2 linked regions of the Caenorhabditis elegans genome follow. The protein of the gene in region 1 interacts with the protein of each later gene in a pairwise test. Each region holds a gene or a part of one and is shown on either strand. Other genes may lie near its edges. The genes, in order: trx-2 and pold-2.

Region 1 (14,987 bases):
GGAAAATTCTCAAATTTATTTGAAATTATATTATTTTAAAGTATGATAGAATCAGTCACATGTAAATCTTTCCCTCCTCTTTTACTATCAATATTCCATTCTTATCTTTTAAAAACTAACCGTTAGTTTTGTATCAAAATCATTGCTCTTGAGAAGTTCAAGAAAATCCTCAGGTAGAAAGTTGGGAGATGGTAAGCGATCATTACTTCTTGATAATGCATCAAACAGTGATGTCATATTTCAGATTCAATTGCTTCCAACTGAAATTCAAAAAAAAAAACTGAAATCAACAATAGATGAAAGATGGAGAGAAACTGGAAAAGAGTACGGGGGAGTGGGAGAAAAAGGTGAGGATATCATAAGCCGTGGGCGGTGGTAGTGGACAGACGATGAAGACAACGTGAAAAGATGAAAAGGAGAAAGAAGGGGGAACGCAATGTAGCTGTAGTCTGGGCAACCGCTGCGTGAAATGTGTATAGAGTCTACTAGTTGAGGAAAGAAGCCGAGTTTCGAGGTATGCAGGGTTATGATGACCAAATGGACCTAAACGAGGTCCGTTCAGTAATACATAAGATAAATGTGTCCGTTTAAAGAGAAATAAAATACGAGAAAGAAAAGTTTCGTTTTTTTAATACTTCTCTTGAGCTTTTCTACGATATTCTATTTGCCTGCTCAAATCCTTATTTTTGAATTTAAAATGTACATATATTTTTATTTTTGATAAACAATTGAGTTCAAATGTCGAACTCGTACCACCACAAGCAATATTTCATCGACCTAAAACTAATTGTTATTTAAAATTTAACAGGTGATTGCTTGCAATTTTTAATCTAATACCTTCACCCAATTTCTGAGTTTTTTACTAAAAAACAAGTTTCGGATTCCAAATTCAATTTCCTGTGTGCTCTGTGGGACTTTATTGATAAAGTATGAGATTTTGGGAGTTCGCAAAAACTGAACTTCCGCTTTGAATATTTCCGGTTTTTATTGGTTTTCAAGCTGATACGCTTAAAGCCAAAAAATAAATGATTACTTATGAGTGTAACTTTATTTTCTGAAACACTGTCGGTCTTTAAACATTTTATCAAAAACTTCAAATATTTAAAATTAAAATAAAACGATACAATATGTATACATATAATAGTAAGCAAAAACTGAATATCAAGATAATTTCTAATCTTGTTTTTTCTTCAGAATTTTCGGGGCAGCTGACTCGTCCATTTTAAGCAACCAATACGTTGCCATAACACCTTTTCCCTGAAAGAAAAACAAAAGAAATCAGTGTTCATGTCTTGAGATTTCGAAACCTTGATTATGACTTCGCCACGTGGCTCTGTGGTAAATCCACCAAGTCTCATCAACATTTGATTTGCTTCTTCCGAAAGATGAATCTGCCCCGCTGAAAATAAATGAAACGAAGAACTTATGTTAGTGGACTTCTGGAATATTTTACGTTTAGAGTTGCTCTCCATTCGGCTTGCCGTATTGACCGCATCACCAAATAAGCAATATCTTGGCATTGTTAGTCCAACAACACCGGCTACAACGGATCCTGAAAAAAACTTTTATTCCAATAGTTCTGTACATTTATTTTGTCTAGATATTATGTTCAATCTATGTATTAGGTTGGCAAGAAAGTCCTGTCCTATTTTTCAATCATTTATTTCTCGAAGCGAACTAAAACAAGAAATCAGTTATATGTTCCATCATGATCAACAACGTCCTGCCAACGTTGAGGTAACTTGTGGATCCCCTGCCTGTAGAATCCAGCGGGCAGGGACTCAAAGTATTGCTTGATATCAGATTTGAAATTTTCTCTTGTTTTGAAAGCTATACCTTGAAGGGCAAGAGTCAGATCGGAGAAAAGCCAATAATCACTTAGAGCAATGTCAGGAAAATTTGGTGGTAGAGGGAGAATCACCCATCCATATTTTGTCAGTTCCTGCACCACTTGTTTTAAAACATGTGGTCGAGAGTTTTAATGTTGGGAATATACTTTCTTATACTTTAAGGCTGAAGGACCGACTGTTTTCTTAAAATTCGGTAGTTGTCTTGAGTGGGTCTCTCCGGTAATAAATTCACCCTTAGGTAACAGCTCCCAGTAGAGGGGTCCAGCCAGTCCCACCAAACAGAGAGCATACTTTTTTTTTGGGTGAAGGCCGAGTTTCGGAACATGCAGTAGGGTTTGTCCTTCTGCAATCCGCTGGGCTTGTCTGTGATGGTTAGTGTACAACACCCACTTTCCGTGTTTAGTAATAAGCCGGCTCAACCAACGGTCACCGCCGTGGAGAGTGAGGAGATTACATGAAACATCAACTTGGCGGTTAAGGTTAGCCAGGGTCAAATCATGAGGTACGATCGACCAAGAATTTTACTCATGCCGAGCAATTTCAAGCTATCTGCTTTAGAGTTATGAAAGAACCTAAGCTTGCTTGCAAGCTCATTGGTAGTTTCAAACGGATCCGATTCAACACTGGCTTTCAGTGCATTCAAATCCAACTCATGTGGTCTTTTGAGCATTCCTTTTCAATCAACGAAAAGTCGCTTTTTCCGAAACGATTGAACCATTTCTGTATGGTTTTATACGAGGGAGTATGTCCATCGTAAACTTTCATCAGAAAAGTTTTCGAATCATTCAGTGTGTTGTCCGCCAGGAGCATGCATAACAGAACATGCCGAAGAAGAATTGAAGTAGGAAGATTCATCTCAATTGAACTTGAACTAAGAGAAAGGGAGAGGGATAAGGGGTTAATTACTACAAAGACTTTTGTCTGCTTATTAATCACTAGAAGTGAGTACACACCAAAATAGATCTACATCCCACCATGACAAAAAATTAGGACATGACTTTCTTGCCAACCTAATATTTTCCTTTCTTTCCTTCATATATATCTATTCGAAATTATATGGCTTCCATATAAAATAAAACTACCAACCACAATGAAATCCAACTCGAATTTTAATCTTCTCCCCTGGAAGATGAGGTATGCTAAAGTCCGCCAAGGATTTAACAAAGTTGATTGACATGCTTGCAATATTTCTCGTATGTTCATTTCCATTCCTTCTGGGAACACCAGAAGCAACAAAATATCCATCACCAATAGTTTCAACTTTGTAGACATCGTGCTGTTCAATAATTCCATCGAATATTGTGTACAATCCGTTTAATAAATTAACGACTTGAAGAGGAGTACACTTTCCTGCGAGAGTTGTAAAACTAACAACATCTGAGAAAAACAGTGTGACAATATCAAATGTTTCCGGTTCAACTGTTTGTCCAAGTTTCAGCTTATCAGCTACTTGTCTTGGAAGCATACGGTATAGAAGAACATCACTTTTCTTCTTTTCTTCAACTAATTCTTTCATTCTTTCAGCAACTTCATCTTCTAATGTTGATGCATATGATTCAAGTACATTGAATACATGATCCATTAAATTATCATTTCTATTCGTATTCATGCTTCTCAATTGTGAAGCTACTTGTTTAATATCAGGACGTTCTGAAGGTCTCTCTGTCCAACAGTCTCTTACTAGGTGAAGCTGTAAATGCATAATTATCAAAATTTAAACAGAGAAACATACCAATGCAGGATTTATTTCAATTGATTCATCATGTTCTAAGCTTGGTCGTGGAGATTGAAGTCCGCCCTTTTTCAGCATGTATATTATTTCTAAACTCAAAATCTATTAGGATTCAACTCAATTCATGAAATACCTTCTGCATCCTCTTTCCTGTTTTCGAGATCAAAAACTGAACTTCTGGTAATTAACTCAGCACTTATAATTCCAAAACTGTAAATATCTCCCTCTCGACTACCCAATATATCATCAGTTCGTAAAAGTTCTGGAGATGTCCATAATCGATCTAAAATTATATTATTTAATTCGTCTGGTTTTGACAACAATAAACTACAGTTTCAAAATTCAATTTTGTAAATTACTTACCAGATTTGTTGTATTGATCGTGTGTTCTGAAAATTCTTAATCCAAAATCTGTGATTTTCAACTGCCATCTGTCATTTAATAAACAATTTTTTGATGTGAGCATTCCGTGAAACTCGTGGGATGACTCATGAATCCAAGTTAAGCCATTGATAATATCTTTCATTAATGAATAAATAAAGAATCCATCCATTTGCATACTAGCTTTTCTTATCACATCAGCCAAAGATCCTCTTGAACAGAATCTCCATACGGAATAAAGTTGTGGAGCATCTAGACTCATTCCGATGAATTTATTCAAATTGGCATGGTCTATCAATCTCATCTTCAAACGTCACTCATTATGAACAACATATAAAAACCTCAACTACCTGTCTCATTGTTGCACATGTTTTATTATCGAATACCATACGAATTGAATGTTTTTTCGCTGCTACTCGTTCCATTTCAACATCATTTTGGATTTGGAAAAACAAATAATTTCTGGTTTCTCCAACTTCTGATAATGTTGATGATCTTGTTGAAGATATAGTACTGGGAACACTGCTGATACTTCTCATACTATGTTCTCCTTTTCCTTTCTTTGTAACAGTCATCATTGATTTGAATGGTATTTGCCAAAGTGCATTTTGTCGCTCAACTTCTTGTTGTTTTGCACTTAAATAAGGGGTTTATAAAGGTGTGTGATATCAAAAGGAACTTACTGGCAAAGGTAAATAAATGCGAGAATAGCTCCCATGATAGTAAAGAAAATTATAATTATGGCTGCAATAAACCACCCAATATATTGAAAAAATACGTTTGCAGGGCACAATGAACCCGTGTATCCACAAATTGGTTGATCAGGTGGTCGGATTCCTTTTCTATGAGACCATAAAGCAGTTGCTTCATTTGTATAATGTTTTGTAACTACTGCCTCCTGTTGATCCACATCAACAGTCATAATAAGTGAAGAATTATTGTTTGAATCAAGTGTTAGAACAAATAGAGTTGGCTGAAGTCCTCCACCTTCATCTATGGCTACTGTACCACCGACTCCTGAAATACAATTATCAGATTATATCAGATTCATCAGATTCAGTTTTGAATAAACTATATTCCATTAAATACACTTTCGTACCATTAAATACTCCTGCCATTTTTCGTGGGAATGCAGTTCCATTTTTATACTGATTAGGAACAGTTTTCATTATTTGATCCATTACAACTCCATAGATGTATACTGAATCGTGTAACTGACCAGCATACGTAGCAGCCTAAAACATATTCTTTGAATTTGAGCCGATTCTGTTTTAAATCTGACAGTTTGATATTCAGGAGACGCGCACGCATCTGTACAATTATATGGTGGCTCTTTCATTCGTTGAATAATTTCATGTTCAAACTGTGTATAATTTGATCCAACGTTTCCTTGACCTTGCATCTGAAATATCATGTTTTTGAAATGAATACTTGATAATTATTGAACTAACATCAACAATAAATATTGACTTTTGGAAACCCAAAAGAGCTTCTTGGTCACCTGGTTGTGGGCCTGTAGCTTCAGTCCATGGATATCTAAATGTACCATCAGCTTGTGGTACAGCTGAAAATTTTAACTGAAGATTTTCAGAGAGTACAGTAAAGTTTACCATATCCTCGAGATCGAAGTGAAGGGAAAATATAAACGTATTCATCATTAACAAATCCATTTCTTGCCGCTACTAACATCCATCTTCGATGAAGACCTCGTGAATTTCCTTCATGAAAACATGGAACAATTACTGAAAAATAAATTACTTCAGATAATAATTTCAGAAATGAAAGATACTTCTTCCTCTCGTAGAAACATCTTTTAAAATTGCAAGAAGCCCTTCTTCACTGTGATCCATTATTTGAACTGCATACGATAAAACTATATCACCATAATAGGCTACCATATTTTGAAAATCATCTCTCAATGTTTCACATTTTTCATCATTCATTTCCAAAGAATATGCAAATACAAATTGATCCCATCCATACTCTTTCATTACTTCACGAAATGTTACAGCAAGACTGAAAAATTGGTTTATCGTAGTAGATCTCAAAGTGGTGTAATATTCCAATCGAAACTAAAACTAAATCCAAATATATATTCTAACTGTCTTTATACTGTTATACTGTTATAGCTGTCAAAACAATATAATTAAATCTCTTAAATAAATGTTGTGATTTTTGAAATGTATCCAACCTTCTAGATCCAATTGATAACATTCCAGCTGTTGGAAACCTGGATTCATCATCCAATGTTGCTGATGAAGTTATCCCCCAAGTAATAAGTGGGATATTGTAGTAGGTGGCAAGAATGAAAACTGGCATTGCAGCTGAAACTCAGTTTTCCAAAAATGAAGATCCATCAATTTATTGAATATTTACCATTATTGGTAGTAGGACCAAATAATACATCAACGTTGTGCTCTGCGAATAGTTTAATTGCATTTCCAGCAGCAATATTTTCATCACATTGATCATAGAGAATTGTAAATCTAAATTGTTATCATTTCAATTTCATTCGGGACTTTTTAAATTTAGATTTAACCTCCAGAAATAAACCTGGATCAATGTCATAAGTTCCCATTTAGTTTTAAATTTTTGGTAAGAAGGGTCATTTATTGTTACTATCCCTACAAACTTCATTTTATTTTCTTACTTGAAGTCATATCCAAGAAGTAATCCTTCTCGTTTAATTTTATCAATTGCAATACTCGCTGCACTTGCAGATGTTCGATAATTGATATATGTAGTGGATCCTTCCACATTCTGAAATCAAATATTTTATGAATAACGCTATGCTTTTCACGTTTTCAAGTACATCGCAATGCAGAAATCCCAGATGAAATACGTTCCCAGGAGGTTGACATATAGTCTGAATATCATATTTTAAGAAACGAACGCTCGCAAGCTTGAAATTCCGGGTACCTGGATCACAAATAATAAAGGAAAAATTACAGAACGTAGATAAACTCCGATCATTCACTGGAAAGGAGTTATGAAAATGAATAAGTGGGCAGTCTTCTGAGGTTTTAATATATACAAAAAGTGTTATAAAAACAATATTCTATCTTGTTTTCTTTAGTTTTTATTAGTTTTCGGATATATTCCAGGCGGCTCATAATCATGAGCAAACTTGTTGAAGGGCTTCGACGAACAAGTCAGAGATAATATATTTGTTCAGTCCTATACGCGTATTAATCAGCTTCATTAGTCAGAAAGAAAATTACGAATTGTCTGGGATGCATCGGATGTGTTTAGGATGCACTTCTCATTTCTAGGTTCTGCACTCCGCATTTAAACTGAATATTTAAATGATTGATAAATTCCTCAGAACTTTTCAACAACTGGTTGTATATATTTGTTACAGAGTTCAAGTGTATTTATCAACATTTTTCAGGTTATCTGTCTACCGATGCCCGAATAATAATTTTAATTATTTCAGAAAACGTAAATGGCCGAGTTTTCCAAATGCTGGCCTAAAAGTTCTATTAGTTTAGAACAAATTTTTTTTGTTTTTAATATTAAATTTAACTTTAATAATTCAATTTGAAATTATTTGTTTTAAGGTTCACATCAATAAATAATGTTTTTATCAGATGCAGAAAGCACTTAAGCTTGGATCATTCTTTGCTCGATCAGCCATCTCCGTCAAACCAACTCTGGCGACTTCAAAAATGACACAATTACGTCATTTTTCTCACGGCGCTTCTGTTTTCGACATTGATTCTGTTGAAGATTTCACAGAAAAGGTAGATAATAGATAATTAAGTGTAATATATCATTTTTTGTTTCACAGGTAATTCAATCATCAGTTCCAGTCATTGTTGATTTCCACGCAGAATGGTGCGGACCGTGCCAGGCTTTGGGACCAAGACTCGAGGAAAAGGTACATACATATGTTAATTACTTTAATAGTTTAAAAAAACGATAAATCCTTTCAGGTAAACGGAAGACAAGGAAGTGTTCTTCTCGCCAAAATAAACGTTGATCATGCTGGTGAACTGGCAATGGATTATGGAATCTCTGCGGTGCCAACGGTATTTGCATTCAAAAACGGAGAAAAAATCAGCGGATTTTCGGGAGTTCTTGACGACGAACAGCTTGACGATTTTATCGAGGACGTTCTCGCTGCTTAAACTGTGTATTAAAATTGCCAATGTCTATTTAAACGTGTTGATTTTTAATGGTTCATTTAAATTAGAGGAATAACATTATGAAAGAAAGAATCACATTAAAAATTCACCGAAGCAATATGTATAGACATTTACACTTTGTAAAAAACACGTTATCATTTTTTTCCTGTTTGCAGCCATTTTGGCATAGCGGATTTGGCAGGAGGTCCCGAATGCGATGAAGACGAAGATGATTGAAATTGAGGTCTCTTCTGTTTACGGTCATCATTGACGGTTGAGTTGAATGGCATAAAAGTTTTGTTCAGCGAGAGCCAGTCCGCTGACATCGCATCTGCCTTTTCTGGAGTAACCTCGATCACATTGTGTACGACATCTGCTGCATTCACTGTTTGTCCTCCGAAACTGGCGATCAAAGTGGATTTCGGCGCGAGTTCGATGTCGACAAAGTTTTTCAATTCGTTTGTGACCACTTTCAGATTAGTGAACATGAGTTTCCATCCAGATCTAGTCAAAACGTTATTCAAAAACAAGTCAAGATTTGAGCTTTGTTCGGCAGTATTAAAGTACACTTGAAGAATGTGTTCTCCAATCGATATACGAATGACAGTGTGTTTGTAGGCTTCTAATTTCAACTGACGATTCTTCTTTGCCAGGTATTCTTTAGAAATGAAGCTTGCTTGAGTTTGATCACGACTGAAACCGTACGAACATTATTATATTTGTTGAAAGCGGAATTCTATAACATACACAGCCTTTCGAAGATCTTTCTGCATGTTACGAACATCTTCAATCCCAACTTCGAAAAATTCCTCTGTTTCCATTGGCTCATCAGTTGTTTGCACTCTTGCTCTGAAAAGTTTTGTTTTGTGATACTATTTAAAATTTCAAGGATTTAAATGTTTGAGATTTTTAGTAGAATTTAATTTACCTTCCTGATTCGTGTGAACTTTTGAAAACTATTTTCATATATTATTTCGAAGTCAAAAAAAAAGAGTGAGCATTTACCGTTTTTTGTATATGACTGCTTGTCTATCGCATGGATTTGCAAAAACTTCGACTGGGTCTTCTTCTTGCTCCTGTTCCATTGCAACATCGGCTCTCGTTCGAACTTCAGCAAGTGAAATTCTTCCTCCATCTGCCAATGCGTTGACCATTGCATCCATTCTGGATTCCACTGCAGGTGTAGCTAGCGAATGATCTACGCGCTCGAGAAGACGATTTAATTCTTCCATTCTCATTGTGTTTTGAGGTACTTGACGAGAAAACGCCGGTCCGTCAAAGGACCATGAATTTGGATTCTGCTCAGGAACCTCTTGAAGCACATCTCGTTGTCTGAAAACCAAATTTTGTGAATTTATGATTTATTTGTTTCTAAAATTCTTACTGAGACTCAGTAGTGTCCATTACGGTACTATCCTGTATATTCGATGCAGGTTCCGGTATAAGAGCTCTCAATTGCTCTTGCTCTCTCTTTTCTCGAGATTCTTTGTCTTTATCGAAAGCTTCTTGTCGCAATCGTTCCAAACGATCTCTTTCAGCATTTTCAGCTTTCAATTTGACAAAATTCACGTCGAGAGCCTTTTTTCTTTCGTTTTCTTCTTGCAATTTCGCTTGCATTGTTGCGAGTTCTTGATCACTAAGTTTAACTCTCATATGACGAATAAGGCATTTTCCAGATGCTACTCCAAGGCTCGAGAGAGAGTTGACAGCGAGCTCGGCACCAGTGTACTGAAATTTAAATTTTCAATGTTTTAATTACTTTATGTATCAAATTACCCGCTTATTCATGTAGACAATGCACGGAACGGATCCATCAATTGTCGTCGCTAAATCTTCTTTGAACTCGCTCGTGAAACTTTTCAAGGCATCTAAGAGCATCTGGTTTACACCTACTTTCTTCTGATGGCGAGCTCCAGAAGCAGTCTGAATAGCTAGTTCAATAATCGTATTCTCGGATACAGCTTCCTTTTGTGTCATTTCGAGAGTTGCATTGTTGGCGAGTCCGGTGAGTCGAAATGGAAGAGAAGAGTCAATGGGTTTACGAGATTGTGTTTGAAGACGATGACTGTTTACTTCAAAACCACTTTTCAGACAAGCTTCTTCGAGAACTTGCCTCATCAGCATCATTGGAGTGGTTTTTATTTGAACCCTTTTTGCATTTGGGCAGATTATGTTCAAGGAACTCATCTGCAAAATATTATGAACTGATAAGAGTAGAGTGGCATTACAAAAAAATAAACGGAAAAGTTGGAAATCAACCAGAATTAAATAAATACACCTCACCGAACATAAGCAATTTTATAAATTCACAACAAATAACAAAAAGGTTAACAATAAAAATAAAATGAAACATTGAAACTGTTGTATCATTGGTCCTCTGAAACAAGATTCAGCTCATTCGCATCATCGGATCCTTTTTCTTCCAACACATTTTCTTCAGTTTTTTCATCGTCACCACGTGTTTTGAACGAAGCATCTCTCATAGCCTTCTTGCCCATATCACTTCCAGTTACCTCACGAAGAGCTACAGTTGCATATGATCCAGATATCAAGCTAAACTGAATTTGCAATGCCAGAAGTGGACCTTTCTGTTCTGCTTCTGGGATAGCACGTGTTTGTAATCCATCTTGCAAGAGATCTCGTGCATTTCCATATCGAATAAACTTCCATTTGAGCTCCTTCGCTTCAACAAACAAGCATCTTGATGATTCGCCAAGTGAAAACCGACTTAAAATATATTACATTGATTGAACTTGGACCAGGAAACTTACTCTTTTAGTGCTGTGAAGCTCGATTGAGTGAGTCCATCTTCTTCAAGCAATTCAGAGATCCACTTAGCGCCATAACTACCCTCAAATGGCAAGTTTTCTCCCGGTAGTGGTATATGGATATCATAATGAGTTGCATGCTCGCCAAGAGAGAATCCATTGGCTCCAACGTCACTTTCATGTACTCGAGTACCATATTCCTTAACTCGACGAGAAGCTACTTTATTCCAAATGAGGCTTTGATAAGCGTGGACATAAAGACTGCGGCTTTGAATCGGAATTGCTTCAGTAATACAATTTTGCCATGTTCCTCCTTTCGAGAGACACTTCAAAATATTTCCTTCGACTGTAGCAAAAGCCTGAGCTCCTTTCAGCTTGGAAAATGCTTTTCTAGCATCCCCAGTTTGGGAAAAGCACTTAGCGGCGTAGCCAACTGACCCGTATCCCAGATGATCTAAAAAATATTAATTTTCTTTTTTTTTAATGTTTTAGCGCTAACCGGGCATAGCATTAGTCATGATCATTTTGACTGCTTTCTCCCAGTCTCTTTTCACAATAGCTAATCCGATTTCGGCTGTCGTAGAACTTCGTGAACCAAATCGTTGAGTACCTGAAGGTTATGAGGTCTATTGATACTCACCACCGATACTCACCGAAATAGTTGATGAATCCCGTATTTTGGAATGTTTCCAGTCTTTGATGGAGCAATTGTTCCGAATCGTCAGGCAAGCTTCTTAGTACAATGCTGAATCGATTTCCCCAGTGAGCTCCCATTTGAACTGGGTCATCTTTATACTCACATCCAAAGACTCGAATACCGCGGAGTTTCGAATTCAAATCCAGAATCGTTCGCTCATGCACTTTAGTAACACTAACTCTCTGTGAAGTCACAGCTCTCTTGTCTTTAATTCCGTGAGTTCTGATATTGTTCGGGCCCACACTGAAAATTACTTTTTAAAAAGTTTTTTTCTAAATTACAACTTACTTTAAAAACTTTGCAATAAGTTGGCAAGCAAAGCTAGTCTCTTTATTTTCTTTGCAAATGGTGAAGTGACATTCCTTTGGAACTTTTTCATCCCATAGTTTTCGCTTCCGACTGCTCTTCGTATGACCATGAGATACCAGAATTCCATCTTCCTTCGTTTCGGTGATTAAAACTCCAGCATACCGCTCTCTAATGAAATGATGAATGCTTTTTCGATCTTCCTTGCTCAAATCGTCAACTTTTACAAGAACGGGATCTCCTTTCGTAGAGAATCGGTCATTTAATGCAGCTAATGTCTCTTCTGAGATGCAATCTGGCTTAGCAACACACTCTTCGATCTCAATGTCTTCTTTTTTGGACCCAGTACTTTCTAGGACAACATCTGGCGATGGAATGGCCAAAACTGTGTGGTCGGCTGAAAATAAAATTAATTCTAGTAACATTAATTGAGTTTGATTAAATAACCTAAAATTTCTTGAACGATGAAGTCACTGTACATTTCTTTCAGTAGGCAGGGCACAGGAGTGATTGTATGCTCACTGGCATACTCGGTCAATCCAAATTCGGTTTCCATCTAAACTTTATTCAATAAATACATGAAAGAAATCAGACCAAACGATAAAACAAATTATGCGTAAAAACCATATTACAAGACCCCATTAGCAGAATAATCAATGAATTAACGTGTGAAATTTAGAAGCGCTGAGTCATAAAATTGCAATCGTCCTGGAACCCGAATTGTGAGTAGAATGGGAGAAGTTCAGGAACACACTCGAGAGAAATTTTGTAAACTCCGAGAGACTTTCCAAGAGAAACAAGAGTCTTCAAAAGAACGGCTCCTAATTTTTGACGACGCATTTCAGTATCCACGACAACATCTTCAACCCTTCCGCGACTTCCTGCCCCGTGAATGAACTTCATTTCGACAACCAAACTGGCAGATGCAACAACTTTTTGAGAATTGGAATCTTCGATGACGACTATATGATAATTGGGGACCGAGGTCCTCATCGCCTCAAATCGCTTTTCAAATGCTTCCTGATCAAGATTTCCGACCGAAGTCAACTGACTCAGAAGATCAACATATCCTTTCGAGAAATCGTCTTTTGCCAAGGGACGAACTTTAAAATTGTCAGGAAGATTCGAAGGAATGTGTGGAGCTAACACAGACGCATCAAAAATGTGAGACATATTTTCTCTGAAGAAAAGTGATGACAAATCGTTCGAACGAATGAGAAAAACTTAGGAGGAATCTAGCGCAGCTTGCTAAATATTTGAAAAAATGAAAATTAAAATAAGGAGAGAAATTATAACTCGAACGATGCGGAGATTTGTTCCAAATCGACGCAAAAAATAAATAAATCAACGTTTAAAATTGTTCCTAGAACTAGGCCACGGCCACGCGTTCTCTCGGCCATGTACTCCTCTCGGACAAACATTTTAGAAACATTTTACATTGAACGACCTGTGAAATCAAAAGAAAACGTTTTACTTCTTTTTTTCTTTATTTTTTTTTCAAAACTCCAACTGCCCAGTATCTGCCATTGGTTTTTCTATTTACTTTCTCATCGCGCACTTACACACTTGCAGCTGCACTCGTTTGGCGTATTCTCTCCTCAGAAAAAGAAACTCTGCGTCGGCTCCTCCCTCGTCCAAAAATGTTTCCATTACTCATTTCCGCTCTTTTCTTCTTGTTTCCGTTTTTGACTTTATTTTTCTGTGTCCATTGATTTTTCTATACAATTATTCATTTCAGAATGTTAGATAGACTTTGGGAAGTGCGCCAAGCACTGCCCCTTTATCTGTTAGTATCTACGCTTGGACTTGCCATTTCATGTTGTTTTACTCTCATATGTCCTCACGTTTGTCGATTGATACCTGCACTAACTACATATGGAAAAGCTGCTGATCAACAAGAAGATAACTCTTTGGTAGAAAAAATATCTGTACCTAAAAAGTGAGTACAGTTAGTCTTTGGGAGTTCTATCCTTGTCTGAAATTTTTCAGATGGTTTAAGCATTTTTACGCAATCGGTCTTCTAACACTTTTTATATGTCTACACACTGTCCACTCGTTAATCTACAATCCTAATTATCTGCATCCAGTGGTTCTCAAGATTCTTGCCACGCTAACACGATCCTACAGTATACCACCAAGTAAGTTTTTCTTTTAAAAAAAAAGTGATTTTCTTTTTTTTTTTTTGATTAGTGGTTTTTGGAATATATGCGAAGTCGCGACGCAGTTGTATTAATTTCATTGTTTTCAATTTTCAGTAGAACTTAAACTTTTTATTTTCAGTCAAAAAGTGTCTATTACTCAATTTTGTAAAACAACAAAAATATTGTATTCTACAAATGTTATATTTTAATAATGTTTCAAATATTTTATGTAATCACTGTAGGGCTTCAAACATGTGGTGTTGCTTTAAATTTTTCAAAAACTTCAAACGTTTCGTAAATTTAAAAATAGATAAATACCATTTGGCAAATTACCAAAACTTTGACTCAAATTTTCAGAAATTAGAAATTTGATTAGAATATCATATTATACACTTTTAAGTTGAAATAAATATGTTTTCAGTTACCCCAAGCACATCAATCTTGGCTCTCCTGCTCATAAGCCTTCACGTAGCACGACGTCTCTATGAAACAATATTTGTCAGTGTTTACTCGGACAGTCGTATGAACTTGTTTCACTATGCAGTTGGGATAGTCCACTACATCATTCTGCCAATTTCAATTATGTGTGAAACACAGGGAGTTGCTTCCAAATGTAAGAAGATACTTATCTGAAATGTTCTAGTAATTTATTTTCACAGTACCTCAGCTTCACGTGTCAATTGATGATATTTCTCTCACCCAATGGGCTGGAGCTGTCCTTTTTTGGATTTGCAATTGGAAACAACATCAGCTAGCCGAACAAATAGCAAATACAAGAAAAGGTCCTAGAGGACTAATTCGCAATTACGCCTATGGTATCTGCTTTGGTGGTTGGTTCAATCTCGTCTCATGTCCTCACTTTCTATTCGAGATATGCATCTACTTGTCACTTTTTCTTGTAATTCCTGATGCCTACGTGTATAGAGTAAGTTGTCAGTTTCATCCGTTTTTCTTCTAAAAAAATCCGTTTCAGTTCATAATCATG
Region 2 (17,582 bases), on another chromosome or scaffold:
GAAAGATTGACGAAACATTGTCAAACTCTGACAGAAAGTTGTAAAGTTCAAGTTGGTAATTGATTTAATATCTCAACCCGTCGTTAGTTTTTTTTTGACAAATTCCAATCACTATACATAAATTAATTCCGCTTACCTTAAAAGATTCAATTTTGCTCATAACAATACCATGAGCTGATTCAGCTTGTGAAATCAAGTAGGGAAAGTAAATAACTTGAACTATTATTAGAAGACATGAGAAAGAAATTGATAGAGCGGCAAGAGTATAAAGCCACATTTGAAGATTAAAAGAATGAGAATGAGGGGAAATAGGTTCCGAAGGAAAACGAAAACCAATGATGACCTAGTTTTTATGAGAGAAAGTCGGTGAAACGATGATAAGTTGTTTTCTCGAAATGATTAGGAAAAGTTGGGAAAACAGTGGAAGTTCGTTATTTTCATTTGATAACATATGGTTACAAATTCAGATTACTTCTCCTCTGTTCGACACCTGCAGTGGGAAACCATAGTGGAAGGAGACGGTAGAATTTACAAAAGGAACCATAGTGGAAGGAGACGGTAGAATTTACAAAAATTTACAAAAATGTACCAAACTTTTTAAACAAAGAATTTAAGACAGACAAAGTTTGAGTTCTTCAAAGACGACGTTTCTGGGCAAGAAGAAGCACAACTGGTCCAAAGAAGACCACATCAATTCCAACCGAGTGTCAAAACTGTCAAAAATTAATTTATTAAGAAAGAGAAAAAAAGCTTGGGAAAAATGTTCAAGCTAATTTATTTTAAAGGTGGGGTACCGAAATTTGAGACTTTGCTTTTTAGACCCAAAATGGTCCAAAACTACCAAATTTTGTAATGAGACGTTCTGAAAATTTTTCAAATACAAGGTATGGCTGCTCAAAGTTTTGGAAAAAATGGCCCATTTTTAGCTACAACCTCAAATTTTGGCACCTTATCGGTGTCGCAGCGGTTGGAACTTGATTTTTATTTGATTATCATCCTTTAATGCACGTTTTTGCAATCAATTAAGTGCTATTTCGTTGATTGAGATGCTTTTATGGTCGATGCGGGCACAAATACGATACAAGTTTGTCTGCTCATTACCAATTTCACAGATACATTCCGATGCGGCACTTAATAGTTTCTGAAATTATATCACTGCTTCTTACCATTTGCACAGTTTCATCCTTTCCTTTTGTAGATGTGAAACGGCACTTAACAGATACTAGAAAGTATCTGCTTATTACCAATTTCACAGATATATTCCGATGCGGCACTTAACAGTTTCTGAGTGCTGGCAAGGCTAGAGTTGTCGAGCGAGACCTAAGAGAGCTGAGATGTCCAACGAGACCTAAAGAAGACTATCGACAGGTGTGAACGCTCAAAATTACTTTTTTGTCTCTCATTATAATATGGTAATGGTGGTTTTCACCTGGTAATGTAATTTTCGGTCATTAATTTTTTGTGGTAATAAGGTTTTTGATTTTGTAAAACATCAAATGCAAATACAGTATTTCCTCTATGAGTGAAAAAGATGGTGGGATGTTGAAGTCGATTGTCAACTCATGAATATTGTCACTGCCCCGTCACAACTCATGAAGAGTAATTTTTCAACAAATCTGTTGTTCGACTAAGGACAAGTTCCGTGTGTCATCTGGTTAGTTTTTGGCACTTTATTATACAAAACTTTATTCTAATGAGCATAAAAAAGAGATCTCATACTTGTGATTCTTCTCTTTTGACAAAAACTGACAGGCCAAATATAGATATTGGCACAGATGACGTATAACCTCCCGAATGTTTGATTTTTTTTTCATGACAGTCACCATCTCGAGCAATCTTTTCTCGGAGATCTTTGTTAATGTTCTCGAAAAATTACATCATATCTGAGTGCAGCACATTTTGACGTGTTCCGATAAAAGTGCTACACCCGGATCCAAAATAGTCGGGGAATCAGCATTGGGCATCCATGCTCGCATAGTCGGGTTGAAATTAGTGTTTTTCTCCTCTCGTTCTCTCGTGATGCCCACTCGAGTAGACAACGAGTTGAATCTCTATACAATTAGTAAGAACTGGGTCGAAGGTCACCTTAACGGTCATTTTTAGTTAATCAAAATGTAGTAATATATCTTTAAAATATTAAAAATAATAACAAACATGATCCTGCCAGCTGAGCACCGTCTGTAAACCATGTAAGCAGATTTCACTCAGTCAAAACGAAATCACAACGAATGCAAAAAATACCCCAGGAAGAACTGGATCAAATGTCCATATTTATTGAATTAGATAGAAAGTTGTCTTTATTTCTAAAGATTCCTAAAGATTATAATAATGAAAAAGAATAAAACAAACGTACTTTTCACTCATTTACTAGTTAGTTTTCAGGCTGTTCTTCTACATTCTAAGCGCTATTGGAGAGCATAAGATTTTGTCGGTTGACAACAAGAGTTGAGGCTGATTTTATCTCGGTAGGTCTCGGAGGTCTTCATTTTCTAGCTGCCCTGCATGTTGTGCACATTCTAAGCATATTCCGCGCACAATCTGAGCGGATTAAAAACAAATGTGTTAAACCACTCGGAATGTGCGCGGAGTTTGCGCATATGCCTACCGAGCAAGACGACGTTCTGGGCAAGAAGAAGCACAACTGGTCCAAAGAAGACCCCACAATGGTTCAATCACAATCAATTATTGCAATCACAACCCACTGTCAAAAATGTCAAAAATGATTTTATTGAGAAAGAGAAAAAAAGCGAATTGGGGAAAATGTTAAATCTATAATTTATTTCATTACAAACTCAAATGCAGATAAAGTACAACAAATTAATCAAATTAATCATGGACTTAACTCAAACAAAGTAATGAGTTCATCCCTTACAGATTTTACAATAGTAGACTTAGTCTCAAGTTTACGGATCTCGTCATTGAAAAGTCCTTGTGTGAATGTAAAAATAAACGATTCTCTGTCTGTATTTTGTTCCACGAATTTTTTCATAGATACCAGAACCCAAAAAATTGGACCATCTCTTTTTGATAACGAAACGATTTTTCGAAATTTGGTGCGAAGTGAATAATTTGCAAGATATTCTCTGATTTGATCAGTTAGATGAGTTGGAACACGTTCCAAAATTAATTGATTTGCTGAGTCACAGAAAGGAAGTTCAACTTGATTTTTATCTGCATTTGCTACAAGGAATGTAAGAATTGTCCATACATAATATCCTCGATCATCATTCCATTTGTTGAGCATTCTTCTGAAAATTATAAAAATCACATATGGAACTGGACAATAGACAACTTTAGCTTATTAATCAGCGCGGATTTTCATTTGAAAATTAAAATAAATGTAGCCAAATGAACTTACTCTAAAAATACGTATGTGCAATCCGCAAAGAAAATCTTTAGGTCTTTGTATTCTAGTCTATCGCATATAGCGAGTAATACGGTGAGTATTTTTATGTGGAATAACTCGTTATCAAACATTTCGATATACCCAATCAGAATTCCGATTCCACCATTTTTCACAATTTCAATGCAGAACTCTTTCCAACAAGTGAGGTGTTCAAGAATTCGAATAGCATCAAAACACCAATGAATAGTTTGAAAACCGGCAATGTGCCATCGAAAACTTAATTCCAATATTTCCATTAGTCGAGCAGCATTCACTCCCACATTTAGAAGATCGCCGGGTTCACTATCTCTGACTAGCGTGACAAGAACATGAAGTGCTCGGGTCTGAAATCCATCATAGACTCCAGTTGTTGTTAGGAATTTCATGGCAGTCTTGCAAATATTGTCACAATCAAAAGAATACACATAAGATGCTAGTGAATCTATAGTATTCCAAGCCATAATATTGATTTCTCGACCATGCTCCGTATCCATTTTCGGCAGAAACATGACAGAGTTTACTAGAGAAATTACTAATGTTGAAACTTCACAACTGTTCAGTTGATGAATGTAATACCTGAAATTGAAATAGTTAAAATACTTGTCAAAACTTCTTTTTTTGAAATTTTCCTTTAATGGATTTAGTGGTTTAAAATTTTGTGAAAAACAGGGTTAGCGTATTTTTGGTGGAGTATTGTCAGTATCGAAATATCTCAAAACCACTCCTATGCAGAGTGCTAAGATGTTCAGATATCATAATAAAAATTTCCAAAACATTTTAAAAATGTTATTATGTACAATTAAAAAATAGTAGTTCGTTATAATTTATCATAAGTCTGAACCAAAAACTATTTTCGACGAGATTTGTGATTTGATTTCGGCTTCATTGTTTGTATTTCAAGATTCTAAAGGCTCTAACCTGCATCAATGCTTGAAATTACACCAAAAAATACGTTTTTTTCGAAAATTTTGCCAATCTACTAAAACGTTGATTGGAAGTTTCAACAATCTTGAAATTTTTGAGGTTTCGTAATGCGATATTTAATTTTAATGTATTCTGAAAAATGCTTAACTGGCGCTCGACTACAGCTGGTTTTTCCGGATTTCGGGGGATTTTTAGGATTTTCAAGGCAAAGTTTTTTGTTTAAATACTAGAAATCCGATTTGCCAACCCTGTTTTCAAAATGCTGAACTATATCTCACGTTGCAATTTTTATCAAGAATTGTGCTCCAAAGTACTGAAGCATTGAGGTTGAAGACGTTCTCATTGCTCGAATAATAAGGTCTAAAATCCAAGATGCATTAAAATGCTCATAGTATTCATGAATCCATCCATTTAAAAACATTAAGCACCAATCTAATATGAATGATCTATGTGAGTTCAACTGATTAGTGAGAAATTCAAGAAGTGAGCAAAGACTAGATGGATTCCGAATATTAATATTTTAACTCGTTGACTCTTCTAAATCTGTACCTGAAAATCAAAAAATATGTTTTAGATAACTGTAGATTCAAGTAAAATCCTACCCAGGGCTACAAGTTCACAGAGGCTTTTATGAGATTTTTGAAAATTCTTCAAAAAGTTCTGATTCATATCAGTTCCAGTGCAATTTAAATATCTTAACTCTGGGAGTAACATTCCACAGTTTAAATACAATTCGATGATTCTTGTAACAGCATTGTTTCTGAAAACATATTCCAAAGTGATTATCTAAATCTGAAAAAAAAAACTAACGTATGTCTCGAGACATCTAGAGCTCTTAAATTCTTCAAACTGAATAAATCAATCAAATCGAAATGATGTTCAAAATCCAGATTCCGGATACATAGAATTTGTAGATTTTTTAAATGTGAGATTCCGTTGAGATTTTTGATATTTGCGTCACTGATGTCCAATGAGCATAAATTGGTGAAATTATGGCAAAGTTGAATGAACTTATCAGAATCTAGGTTAGTGTAACTTATAACGAAATGCATGAGATTCGGAAGCATCAAACCAATCTGAAACAACAAAATGAGGGTTAGATTTTTGGTCAAACTTCAGAAAATGTTTGAAGCCAATAGGGATTTTAGAACTAATTAAAGTCAGAAATTCCCCAAATATCTTAAAAAGACCCTCCAAAAAATTTAGGTTTAAAAAATTTAGAGTCACAGTTTTGGCATAATAAAATTCCAATTTTCTAGCAGATGTAGATTTTTGACGTAGATTTTTGAATAGTTTTGATTATTCCTGCAGGTTCAAAATTCTAGAACTTTCTATCGCAGATTATTGCAGCAAATGTAAAATTAAAAATTGGCTGAAATTAGCATTTGTGCGGTCGATTTTTCAACGTTTTGCTCTTTTGCCCTCAATTTCTGAGCATTTAGAATGAAATTGTAGTTACATAGGTTTTTTGGTATGCTGAATCCCATTCCAGCATTAGTTTCCCCCAGAAAAGTTCGAAAATGTCTGAAACCCCAAAAATTAGGGGGTTTCCCATAGCAGTTGGGCGCACTGTATTATGCAATTTATTAAACTGAGTTTTGAACACTTTTTGGCTGTGAATTAAAAAATTTCAAAAATGATTCAAAAGGTTTTATATGGTATTTCAAAAATTTAGCACTATTCAGTCACTAACAATAAACTATGAACATAAATTACCTCTTGTATCCATAAATTTGAAGATGATTGATGACCGGTTATATCTAAGTTTTGAAGTTTCAGTCGACACTCTTCATTCAATAATTCTCTCAAAAATTTGAAAATGTCAACTTTCATATTATCTGCAACATTATTACTCATCTGTTGATATAATAAACTTTCAAAAAACTTACTTTCATCATCTAAAAACCATTCACGGACATTAATCAAATGCCCTAAAATAAGGGTATCAAGATGTTGCTCTCTGAGCATTCGAAATGTCTTGAAATCTAACAAAGTATAAGTGAAATCAATTTTGGATATTTGAAATTTCAGACGTATTTGTTCTGTTGCTCTATGTGTCCAACTCGTCTCGTTTCTTGTTCGATCCTTTGATAAAATATAACTGGAGCTCCGCATTTTTCTGAGATGGCAGTAAATGACATTACTCGATTTTGCATCAAGAATATAATTCATTTTATTGTACTTTCCTGAAATTTGTATAGTTTATTGAAGAATTAAAATAAAATAAAACATACCACGTTCAATATAGTCAGCAACTTTATAGGCAGTCAACTCCAACAAAGAGCTCACCATTTTTCTGGATAGAAATTTGGCAGACTGACTGTATAACTGACTATAGGGTTCTGCAACGCCTAATGAGAACAACGGAGAGTCATTACACACTATCGACAGGTGTGAACGCTCAAAATTACTTTATTGGCTCTCATCTATTGTCTCTCATGGGAGGGCGGTTGACACCTGGAAATGTAATTTTCGGTCATTAGACTTTTTGTGGTAATAAGGTTTTTAAATCTCGTTAAAGGTGGTGTAGTCGAATTTGAGACTGTGCTTAAAAACATTCTCTATGCTCGTACAAGTCGATATGTGAAAGCGAAACATCACAAAAATTTCGCTAAATGAAGTTATGAGCCTTCAAAGTGCCGAAAAAAATCTCGCCGTCCATCTAATTTGAATTTCGCGCGCAAATGAGCGCCACCTCGTGTGTACTCCTCTCAGACAATCAAATAATTAATTTCCTGATTTTCGGCAATTTTAGGCGATTTTTCGTACTTTAATGAGCCTATCCTCGTTTTTTATTGGAAATTAACGTTTAAAGATACAATAAATCGTATTTGGTAAAATATTTAACGTAAAACAGTACAAAAAATGGAGTAATAACTGGATAATTCAACAAAATGTGAATTTTGAATGTGAACACGCATAAAATAATTAGAACTGATGATCAAAGTTTTGCCACTTCAGGGAAAGATCAGATAAGTTGAGAAAGCAGGCGACACGAGTTTTGGAGAATTTGGGCAGGCAAACAACAAGGCAATTTGATCCATCAATTGGAATATGACGGAACTCGGCGTGAGGTTGATTTCCACAAATGATCACATGCGGTGTGATGTCCATGATCAGAGGATCTCTGAAAAATAATTGTTTTGAAACATTCTCTGTATAGGTAATAAATGTTCTCTATCAATAGAAAAGTACTGTACTAAATCAATTTTTTAAAACTTAAAACTAGGGACCTTAGGGTGTTCGTTTTTCGATTTTTTTTTTAGAAAATCGAAAAACAAAAATTTTTCGATTTTTGGAAAGTCGAAAAATTTCTTTTATCGATTTTTGATTTTCACTGAAAAACATCGAAAAATCGAAAAAATGTCACCCTTGACTAGAGTTGGACATTTTTCTGGTTTTTTAATGTTATTTAAAGGAAAAATTGATTTTATTTGGCTTCTTTTTTGACACCAAAATACCCGAAAAAAATTTATATACTTACAGCAAACCTTATTTTTAGTGGTTTTTGATTAATTTTTCAAAAAGTATTTAGGTCTTAGGCTCCAAAAAAATTATATTTCGAAATAAATCCAATATCAACATATTTTTTAGTTTTTTTGGTTCGAAATATTTTTCGAAATTATTCTGTGCTCCAAAAAATGCACCAAACAAACCTTTCAGCCACTGGGAATGCATCAAGAGTATCTGGACAATTTGGTGCCACATGTTGCCATTTAATGATATTCTCAATAGCATCAGCTCCCGTCCATTTCAGGGAAGTACGAAGAAGCTCGCTCACGTTTTCGCCAGACATTGTCATCACACGTAGTCCATTGACTTCAAATTCATATGGATTTGTCACAAGATTCACTTTTTTATCACTCATTCCACAACGTGGAAGACAAACTCTGTGAATAGGTGGCAGTGGCCACATCGATGAGCATGGATCACCAACACCAGGAGTCACGTCGACAGTGTTAACAAGAGGTTTTTCAGCAATTGAATTAATAATTTTGTCTACAGTAATTAGTGATGCTGTTGAAGAATGTTTCTCTGCACGTGAAAGAGTAAGTGTTCGAACGACTGACTGAACATCACAACCATTTGATTTTGTTTCAACCAGTGGACCAATAACTACAAGACGATCAATCGGTGGACATTGATTCTCATTTCCAACTTGAACATTCATCCAATCAGCCATAAATTCAAGACCAGAGATTGTGAGTCGCTGAAATCATGATTTTGTAGTTTCGAGAAAACCATGGAAATATGAATCTTCTGAATGGAACTTATTCCATTTGAAAGAGCATCTTCTAAGAAGACCCCTATAAAAAATTTAGCGGCGGATGAGCACTTTGAACTGGAAAAGGTCGCTCTGAAAATTTTTCAATGCATTTTTTTTCACAACTTTCGAGGTCCGTAAAATGGCTACAAATGTGAATTTTTGTAGATTTTTGATGATTTCTAAGATGTTCACGGCCGGTAAACATTCAGATTTTGTTTTTGGGAATGTTTAAAAATTTTTGAAAAAAATCTGAAATTTCGCAATGGACATGGATTCAAAAAATCGAAAAAATTCCAAAACAAATTTTGAATGTTTGCCTGCCCCTGAAAATCTTAGAAATCATCAAAAATCTACAAAAATTCACATTTGGAGCCATTCACAGACCTCGAAAGTTGTGGAAAAATGCACTGAACATTTTTCAGGGAGACTTTTTTCCAGATCAAAGTGGTCCTCTGCTGCTAAATTTTTGTAGGGGCCTATTTAAAAGATGCTCTTTCAAATGGCATAGATTTCATTCAGAAGTCCGGGATTAAGTGGAAATACTTAGATTAAAATATCCGAGAAAAGGTGTAATTTGGTTGTTTTTCGATTTAAATTAGACAAAAAAACAGAAAACAAAAGATTATGCGCCTTTAAAGATTACTGTAGTTCCGAACTTCTGTAGATTTTCTTCGATTTTTCATCCGTTTCTTTGAAATTTATTGAAAAACATGTGAAAATGTTTTTCAAATTTTGACGAATTAATGAAAAATCTGCAACAACGAGGAGTTGGGAACTACAGTACTCTTTAAAGGCGCACTCTTTTGTATTAACAAAAATCGGTCGCTTCGAGATCGTGTACCGTAGTTTTGGAGCACAATTTTAAAGTTGGAATAGTATTCAAGTTACAGAATTAATACTCACATCGTCTTCCAAATCTCCAGTTAGATCGAGTCCACTGACGAAAGCGATAGTCCCGTCGACAGCCACTTTCTTTGGAACTTTTACAGATGGCCAAACCAAACGATTCACATGAAATACTCCTTCTTTTCCTAATTTTCCAAGAACTCCAACACAACAACCAGTTGCACACTCATCCATTGAAATATTTCCTTCCAGACGTACTGTCTGTTTATCTGATTCCAATTCGATTCGATCTTCAATGCTTCCAGCGTATCTTTTCACTTCGTCTTCTTCGGCATCTTCTTCATAATCATCATAAGCCACTTTATCCTCGTTGAGCAACGATTTCAAAATTGATGGTCTTGCAGCTATTCTCTTTACAATAACGCCGACCACGAAGATTTCCTCGTCTTGTTTAGCATCGCTCAATTGTGAATGCGTGAATTTTCCCTTGCCTGAAGATAAAAATTAAGGTTTATTAGTAATATTATAATTCTAACCAATTTCACGTTCTGCATTTTCCAAAATACGAGGTTTCAGTTCCTTCAAGCGAGCTTCGTAGACTTCAAAGTACTGTCTAGTGAACGCACCTGAAAGAAAATAACTTTTTAAAGCTTAGAGCAAAATATAAATACCTTTTTTATCTTTTTCAGTGAGAATGTATCGATCTGAGACATTCTTATAGTTTAGGATGTTGGACCAAGCGGTTTCCATTCTTAAAATAAAGAAAAAAATCAATTCAAGAAGGCAAATTTGTCAATGTTGAAATTTCGCGGCAAATTGCGTTAGAGCGCGTTAACATTACACCGAAGTGAATTTCAAAAATATAATATTCACAAAGTCAACATATTCGATTCTCAAATGTTTAATCAAAAACATTTTATTTTCATAAGACACCATCAAATTAAACACATTCGATCCCATTTCAAATCACAATAAATTATATGGACGGGGTAATAGGGGATATTTTACAAAAAAAGGAACAATAAATAGAAATCTCTAAAAGTCGCGAGAGCAACTGGAAAAGAATAAATTAGGAATCTGGGAAAAAGCAGATAAAACAAATTCTATTTTTGCACTGATAAGGTGCTAGGAAAGCTAATATCTTAATTTTTACAAACCATGCTCCATAATATTAAAAGAAAATAGTACGGCGAGAGGGAAGGAAATGAATGTGTACAAAGAAACCGGTACAAAATATTAATTCTTCCAACATTTCTAATCACAAGATTTGCTTTGGCGTGATCAAAATAATATGAAGGAAGAACAAAGGGAACAATCAAGAGAAGCAATTCTATCACAGTATCAACGACTTAGGAAATGAGATCGCGGATTTTGCGATGGATATCCACAAGGTAATCAACGTATGACATATTAGCAGGACCAGCCTTGTCTTCCACTAAAAATTTCTTCATCCATGGCTCAAGGCCGCTTTTTTCCACGACAACGAACGTTTTTCGCTCTCGGATCCCACGTGGCAAAAGTTGAATTGCACGACGAAGAGCACGTGAATGACCATTGTCTTTTTCCGGAATTGTTCCCTGAAAAATGTAATTGACTAATTGAACGTAGCAATTGATAACTTACACTCTCGGTATCAATTTGATTTGTAGCACCAACACCAAACACGTCTTGAACCCATGTCTGGGGGCATGCAGAGCCAACCCAGACAAACAGAATAACACCGTTATCAATAATATAGGCTTTCGAATTTTCCAGGAACTCAGAACTCGCTCTAACAGGTTTTGGAAGATCCTTCATTTCTTCAGTATCATTGATTTGTAGATCAGAGATTGGCATAACTCTTGGATAAATAAGAGGCATGACATTTTCAGTTCGTAGCCCACGGATCAATTCCATCTGCCACACTTTGTCGTCGACTGTCATTTCACTTCCTCCACTGATCGCATCATTTTTCAAAATAGAGTTCACATAGAGCGGCATCAATTTCAGAGATTCAGGAAGAATCAGTTGTCCAAGTGGGGCACCTTCACTACACTTCTCTCGATAGGTCGCTAGGAATTGTGCACAACGAGAAGAAAGTGATTCTCTCATTTCTGAGCTTCCCTTGTCACGATTCAATTGAACAGCTTGCTTCAACATGAATGCTGTCAATGCTTCCGGATCAGCAAGTCGGTAAACTTGGTTGTAATCAGCAGTAACTGGAAGGCATAAGTTCAAAATTCGCAAACGGCGCTGTCCAGTCATCGACGTATACAGTACAGCGGTTTGAATGAAGGAAGCTGGATCTTTCAGACTATCATCATGTTTGATTTCTGTGATGAATGCTTTGCTTTCATCCAATGTAGCCAATTCCAAATCCGTTGAGTTTTCCATGTAAAAGGAGCCAGTAAAAGTGATAGGACGAATTCCTGTAGACGTTCTTACTCTTGCCATGCAGTCGAATGCAATTTTCTTAGAAACGTGTCGTTCCAACTCATTCAACATGCGAACACCGTCTTTATCGGCCTGAAATAAAAATAAAATTAATAAAATTATTGGTTTTTCTTTAAATTTACCGAGAAATACTGAAATTTGAAAATAGATCCTCCCGTAACTGCAGAAAGCTGACCAATTGTGGCAACATCAATGAAAGCATTTGGGAAGAGGAATAAATCGACAGTAACTCCTGACTTGACACATTGCTCTCCCAACTTCGTGTATGAATCTTCTTGTGGAACCAGTGCATTCTTTTCTTTATCTGTCCCGAGAAGAGATCGATCATTTTTGGATTTCAGCTTTCCCGGTGCATCATATGTTGGTAGAACAGTTGAAAACAGAATCACTTTTCCTGCTCTGTCGGCACACTTCAAAGCGTCAAGACCGGCTTGTACGACGGGTTGAAGAATGGTTTCGGTGGTTTTCGACTGCGAAAAGAGTTTAGGAATTTCAGCCAATGCGGCACGAAGTCCAGGAAGTGCCTCGTTGTAAGGGAGAAGAAGTCCATCGACCATAGGAACAAATGGCTCTTGAACATCAGCTAAAAACAGTACATATTTAGACAAATTTTTATAAGTTTATCAAACTTACACATTACGAGCATTTTTGGAGATGCCGACGAAATGTCAAAGAAATGAACCGCCTGATCGAATGTAGCCAATCCTATACGCATAGACGACTCGAGCTGTCCAGATTCTCTTGGCAAATTTCGAAGTACTTTCTCCAGATTTTGACAAAGAATTGGAAGCATTCCGTTTGAAATAGCATTGTAGGATACATCAATCATAAATATGAAGGCCGGTTCTTTTGGCGCGATTCCATTCTAAAAATGTCACTTAGAATTTTTGAAAATTGCGATTTTTTTAATTACGTACCTTGCAGTATTGTTTTGTAGCTACGAGATCATACGCTCCAAGACAGAGTTCTGGACGCATTTCAATATCAGTTCTTCTGCCTGTATGATCGAGATGGGCGAAATAAGCATCTTCGACAGAAGTTCGAGCATGGCAAAATGGACAACGGAAGGAGCGTCCACCATCTTGGAATTCCATAAACGGACAAATGTATGCCTTACAACGCTGGCAACGAATCGGTCCTTGTGGTCCCAGATCGACGACTGGTGGTTCTTTCTGAAATTGAAAATAATTGATTATTCATTTTTGAAAAATTAAAAAAAAAACCTCATATTCAGTCAGAGATGCGAATGGCGAAATGACAACGGCGAGCGGAATCTGCGATGCTTTCAAAATGTCATTAGTCTGTGGAGCTGTGTAGAGGGTTGATCTCATAAATTTGGGGTTGCAGTTTCCTTGATCTTGAGCGAAAGAATTTGTAGAAACAAGTGGCGGCAATTCAGCGTTCGGATATCCAGTTGGGAAGATCCCGCTACGAGTCGACGAATCATCATCAATAACTTGAACAGCACTTGGCATCATATTAGGATCAAGACGTTGTTGTCGTTGCTGTGGTGGGCCGCCGGGGTATCCACCTTGCATTCCCGGCATACCTGGACCTCCTGAGGGATATCCGCCGGGACCTCCTGGGCCTGGAGCTCCTGGAGCGAATGATCCTGGCATTCCTGGTCCTCCTGGGCCTGGGGCTCCCGGGGGAAATGATCCCGGCATTCCTGGTCCTCCTTGTCCTGGAGGGAATGCTCCTGGCATCCCTGGTGCAACTGGAGCTGAGGCTCCCGGAGGAAATGCTCTTGGCATGCCTGGGCCTTGTGGAATATCTGCTGGGCCAGAGGGATATGATCCTGGAACTTGTGGACCGGGTGGAAACGAGCCCGCTGTGGGTTGTCCTGGTGGAAATCCTCCTGTGCCAGGTGGGATGAACGAATTGGGCGCTTGAGGCACTTGTGGAGCACCTGGGTAAGCGCTAGGAGCAGAAGATGGTCCACCTGGGTAGCCTTGAACATTTTGTGAAGTGGGTGCTCCAGCTTGGAACGAACTTGGAGAGCCGCCTGCCTGTGGAAAACCAGGGATTTGTGGTCGAAGCGGAGTGGGTTGATGGATCTGATGTGGTTGTGGCGGCAGATGAGCTCCTTGGTTCATTTGCGGAATTCCCGGAGTCGGAGCAGGCGCTTGTTGCATTGCTTGAAGTGGACCTGCAGGTGTGGCACTAGGAGCTAAAATAGAAGTTTTAGCTTTGCCTCTATAAACACTATTTACCTTGAACACTTTGAGGTACAGCGGCGAACTGTTGAGGAGTTTGCTGTCTCTGTACTTGTTGCAATTGCTGTGGTGGAGCTCCGGGATATCCTGCTGGCTGGTACGGATCTTAAAATTAAACTTAACGGATTAGCGAAAAAAAAGCAACTCACTTGGGGGTTGTGCTGACGGAGTTGATCTAGCTCCAATAGACATATTATTCACAGATTGTGCCAAGTGAGACGAATTTCCATTTAAGCCTCCATTTTGATACTGTCCATTTGGTTGCTGATGGGGTGGAGGAAATCCACCTGGGACTTGAGCTGGCTTTTGCGGCGCTGCTAAAACAATTGTTGTATTATGCAAATGTTCATATAAACTCACCTGGAGGGGGAAATCCGTTTGACTGAAACTGCGGCTGTTGGTTAAATTGCTGTTGAGGATATCCGGGCATTTGCCCGTTTGGTGGCGGCTGATATGACATCCTGGAACAAGTATAAAGATTATTTTATATTTTTCAAAATAAAAAAGCTAGAAATCGAGCTAGAAATTAATTAAATCCCGAAAAGAACGTTGATTTTGCTGTAAAGTTCCATGTCACAGCGCGATCCACCGTGTACGCAAACGTCGCGGTGGGCAAATCGCTGCGAGACCCAGCGTGCTGCGTCTCTTCAGGCAACAGCTGTCTCTCTTCATTTCGGCACTTTTTGAATTTTAATTTTTTGTTTTGTTGTTTTTTTTTCTTTTTTCTTTGTTTCCGTAAATGGAAATGTTGATAATTATTTAGATTACACCTAGGCGATTAAAAATTACTATTTGAATCAGGATTCTGTAGGTTTTGAATAGAATATTACCCGCTAGTACTGCTTGTTCAGTTTAATTCGGGAAATCCTTCTAAACTCCAACTAGATGTGATAATAGACCTTATTAATAATATCGATGCACGTTTTTGTGTGCTCAAAATTACAAAAATTTGGCTAAACACATTTATATTCAAAGTAAGGTTTCAAAAAAAAAAAATTTCCTCACGATATTCATTAATGAGGTTCTTATTATTTATGCTAATTGTGGTATAGATCGCCAGCTGTTTCTCAATCCCTTTCTCGTTTTCCGTATTTCGTATTCAAACCGCACCGCCCTTCTCTGTTTTTCTGGATCTCACCGTCCATTACTGGCAACAATAGGAAAGAGTTTTCTTTTATTCTGACCTCTTCCCTCCCTATTCAGTATGTTTGTACAGTTTCCATTTACATTAGTCACTCGCTCACTTTTTGACTTTTTTTTTGCAATCTTTCGGCCCACTCAAACCCTCAAGAAAATGTATCAGTTTCAACTTTGTTCCTATAAATATTGATATCAGGGTGTCTACACGTTTCACTGTTTTTTTGTATCCCGGAACATTAGTAACACAAATGACCCGATTCCAATGGCAATTAGGCGCTTCGAATCCTTTCACCGTCTGCCACTTATGGTCTCAAGGTTAAGTTATTATTGTTACTGTCAGGTACTACCCATCGGATAAAAAGACGATTGAACATCCCTCACGAATGTTTAATTTCGAACTCTATTGAATATACTTGTAAGAAATATTATTTTGTGCTTATAGTTTTTTCAAAAAATGCTTTTAAGCTTCAGTTTGACAAATAAATTCGGCTTCGTTAGCTGAATTTCCCTTGCCCTTTCACTTTTGATCAATTAGTGCAGAACGACGGATGGTTTAAATTTTACGATTCCCTAAAGACTTCATTTCCCAGGCACGATGCTAAAATAATGTAATTGTGTATCAGAAGCGAAGTGAAATCGGTAGAGAACACTTGCGTCAGGTGTCACATATCCTTTTTTGGTCCTTTTCCTTCGTTCTATTCACGTCCATTAGGTATTTATTACTTTATTAGAGCTTGTTATGACGAATGAGCCGCGGATAAACAATGCATGTTCTTTTACTTCTTTTGAGTGTGTGCCGCCCGCATCCGCCGCTCAACACATCCATTATGATGCTAATAAGTTTTATCCTTATTTTGTCGGTCATGAATTATACAAATCCGCATTTATTTTACTTACCCGATTTTTAATGACAATTTTGAGTTATGAACTTGAAAGCATTGAAATTATTTTGATCAATTTGTGGGTTTTATTTATTATTTAAATTTCAAACCCAGTATCGTTATACTGAATACGACTCGTAAAATATCATAGCATTTTTCTAATTTTTAAAATAGGTTTTTTAATCAGAGAATTTTATTGACCTAGTTTCGACATTTCCGGCTGAATTAATTGAGTTTTTGTTTTATAAATTGAAGCACAATTTATCAGTTTTTTCGCAATATTTAGAAATATTCTATTCATTTTTACTGATATATTCAGTAAATCGAGACAACACTGCTCTCAAGTTTCTCGATATTTTACAGTGACACATGGAGTTAAAGTATAAAATACTGTAGGATCAGATGTAATCGCATCATCATGAAATCCGCTTTTGAATCCCTTAGCCTCTTCAGAAGGACACTCGAAACTAATTTGGTTTTGACCCGATTCACATCGTTCTTTTATTCGTTTACTATTACTATTAGAATACCGTCCATCATCCGCTCCCTACATGTTTTCATATTGTCTCCTTCGACATTTATAATGTTTTTATTCATATGTTTTCAGTCTATTCTTTCTTTCTTTCTTTATTTCAACCTGTATTAAAGAGCATCCACGTCATCGTCTCCCCCTTTCTCTGCGTTTCCACTACTTGACCTAGTCTCTCGATTATCGCTGACAATCTCGAATTTCATCACAACATCTTCTCTTCTTCGACGCTCACCAGTTGTGGCTAGTCGATAGGCACCGGATCTCCATGTCCTTCTGCCGGTCACGCTTGACTTCTCAGCCCTCCACCATGTTCATGGATTCAGTGATGGGAATTGGAATAGCTTCATAGATTTTCTTTCCGGACCGGTCTTTTTTGGAGATTCTTCTTCATTCGGGAAGAACATGTGTCTAACCACCTACGTCTCTCTAGTCTTGACCGCTCTATCGCTCCAATCCGTGTTTACAGACCTTGGAAAGGCTCGGCGGAGCGCGCACGCACCTCTAGTCGTCGAATGCGCTTGTTAATTACGGCAAACATACGTTTCACACTTTATTTTTCTCTTTCTCGACGCACATTTCGAATTTCTATATGGTATTGCAAAATGCAAATAAATATATAGACTGTACTGTATTGCCTATCTCGCATTTTTCATGTTCTTTTCGTTTCCCATAAGAGTACATTAGCCGTGTAAGGAGGATTAGTGTAGGGATATTACGACGGCCACTACGAGAAGGTGCCAATTGGAACCTTGTTCTTCCCAAGTGGACGAGACAATGAGACCGATGAACGTCATCATTACATAACATTCTTATTCCTTCTTCATTGGAATACACTTTCTTTAATTTTAAATATTTATGTACTCATGAGACTATATAATCCATTCTGAGCTTATTAATTCTAAAATTTTTATATAAAAAATATTCCCAGTGCGCTATTCATTTCTTTATGTTGTCAGAA

What was found.
Region 2: the proteins of trx-2 (region 1) and pold-2 interact in a two-hybrid assay, tested with the Caenorhabditis elegans proteins (one large-scale study listed by BioGRID).

What each region holds. Positions count from the first base shown.
Region 1 is NC_003283.11:10,307,118-10,322,104, forward strand, and holds trx-2 (putative thioredoxin-2), read left to right. Parts: upstream 1-7,553; coding exon 7,554-7,706; intron 7,707-7,753; coding exon 7,754-7,843; intron 7,844-7,898; coding exon 7,899-8,093; 3' UTR 8,094-8,177; downstream 8,178-14,987. Other genes in the region: Crescerin-like protein che-12, read right to left, coding at 121-237; Receptor-type guanylate cyclase gcy-6, read right to left, coding at 1,174-1,257, 1,308-1,399, 1,454-1,552, 2,937-3,540, 3,583-3,671, 3,716-3,865, 3,946-4,267, 4,314-4,599 and 11 more; asps-1 (TUG ubiquitin-like domain-containing protein), read right to left, coding at 8,246-8,783, 8,838-8,939, 9,096-9,422, 9,475-9,818, 9,867-10,277; Putative pseudouridine synthase B0024.11, read right to left, coding at 10,457-10,817, 10,862-11,312, 11,358-11,468, 11,512-11,798, 11,844-12,258, 12,309-12,417; gna-1 (Glucosamine 6-phosphate N-acetyltransferase), read right to left, coding at 12,537-13,034; srdf-3 (Polyprenal reductase), read left to right, coding at 13,601-13,800, 13,851-13,999, 14,424-14,615, 14,662-14,927, 14,976-14,987. UniProt on the Caenorhabditis elegans protein: Participates in various redox reactions through the reversible oxidation of its active center dithiol to a disulfide and catalyzes dithiol-disulfide exchange reactions.
Region 2 is NC_003282.8:11,551,661-11,569,242, forward strand, and holds pold-2 (putative DNA polymerase delta small subunit), read right to left. Parts: upstream 10,174-17,582; 5' UTR 10,173-10,173; coding exon 10,094-10,172; intron 10,049-10,093; coding exon 9,959-10,048; intron 9,914-9,958; coding exon 9,480-9,913; intron 8,520-9,479; coding exon 7,966-8,519; intron 7,437-7,965; coding exon 7,238-7,436; 3' UTR 7,077-7,237; downstream 1-7,076. Other genes in the region: col-128 (Col_cuticle_N domain-containing protein), read right to left, coding at 137-277; sec-24.1 (Protein transport protein Sec24C), read right to left, coding at 10,772-10,999, 11,046-11,927, 11,978-12,438, 12,489-12,720, 12,773-13,027, 13,079-14,025, 14,069-14,176, 14,221-14,388 and 1 more. UniProt on the Caenorhabditis elegans protein: The function of the small subunit is not yet clear.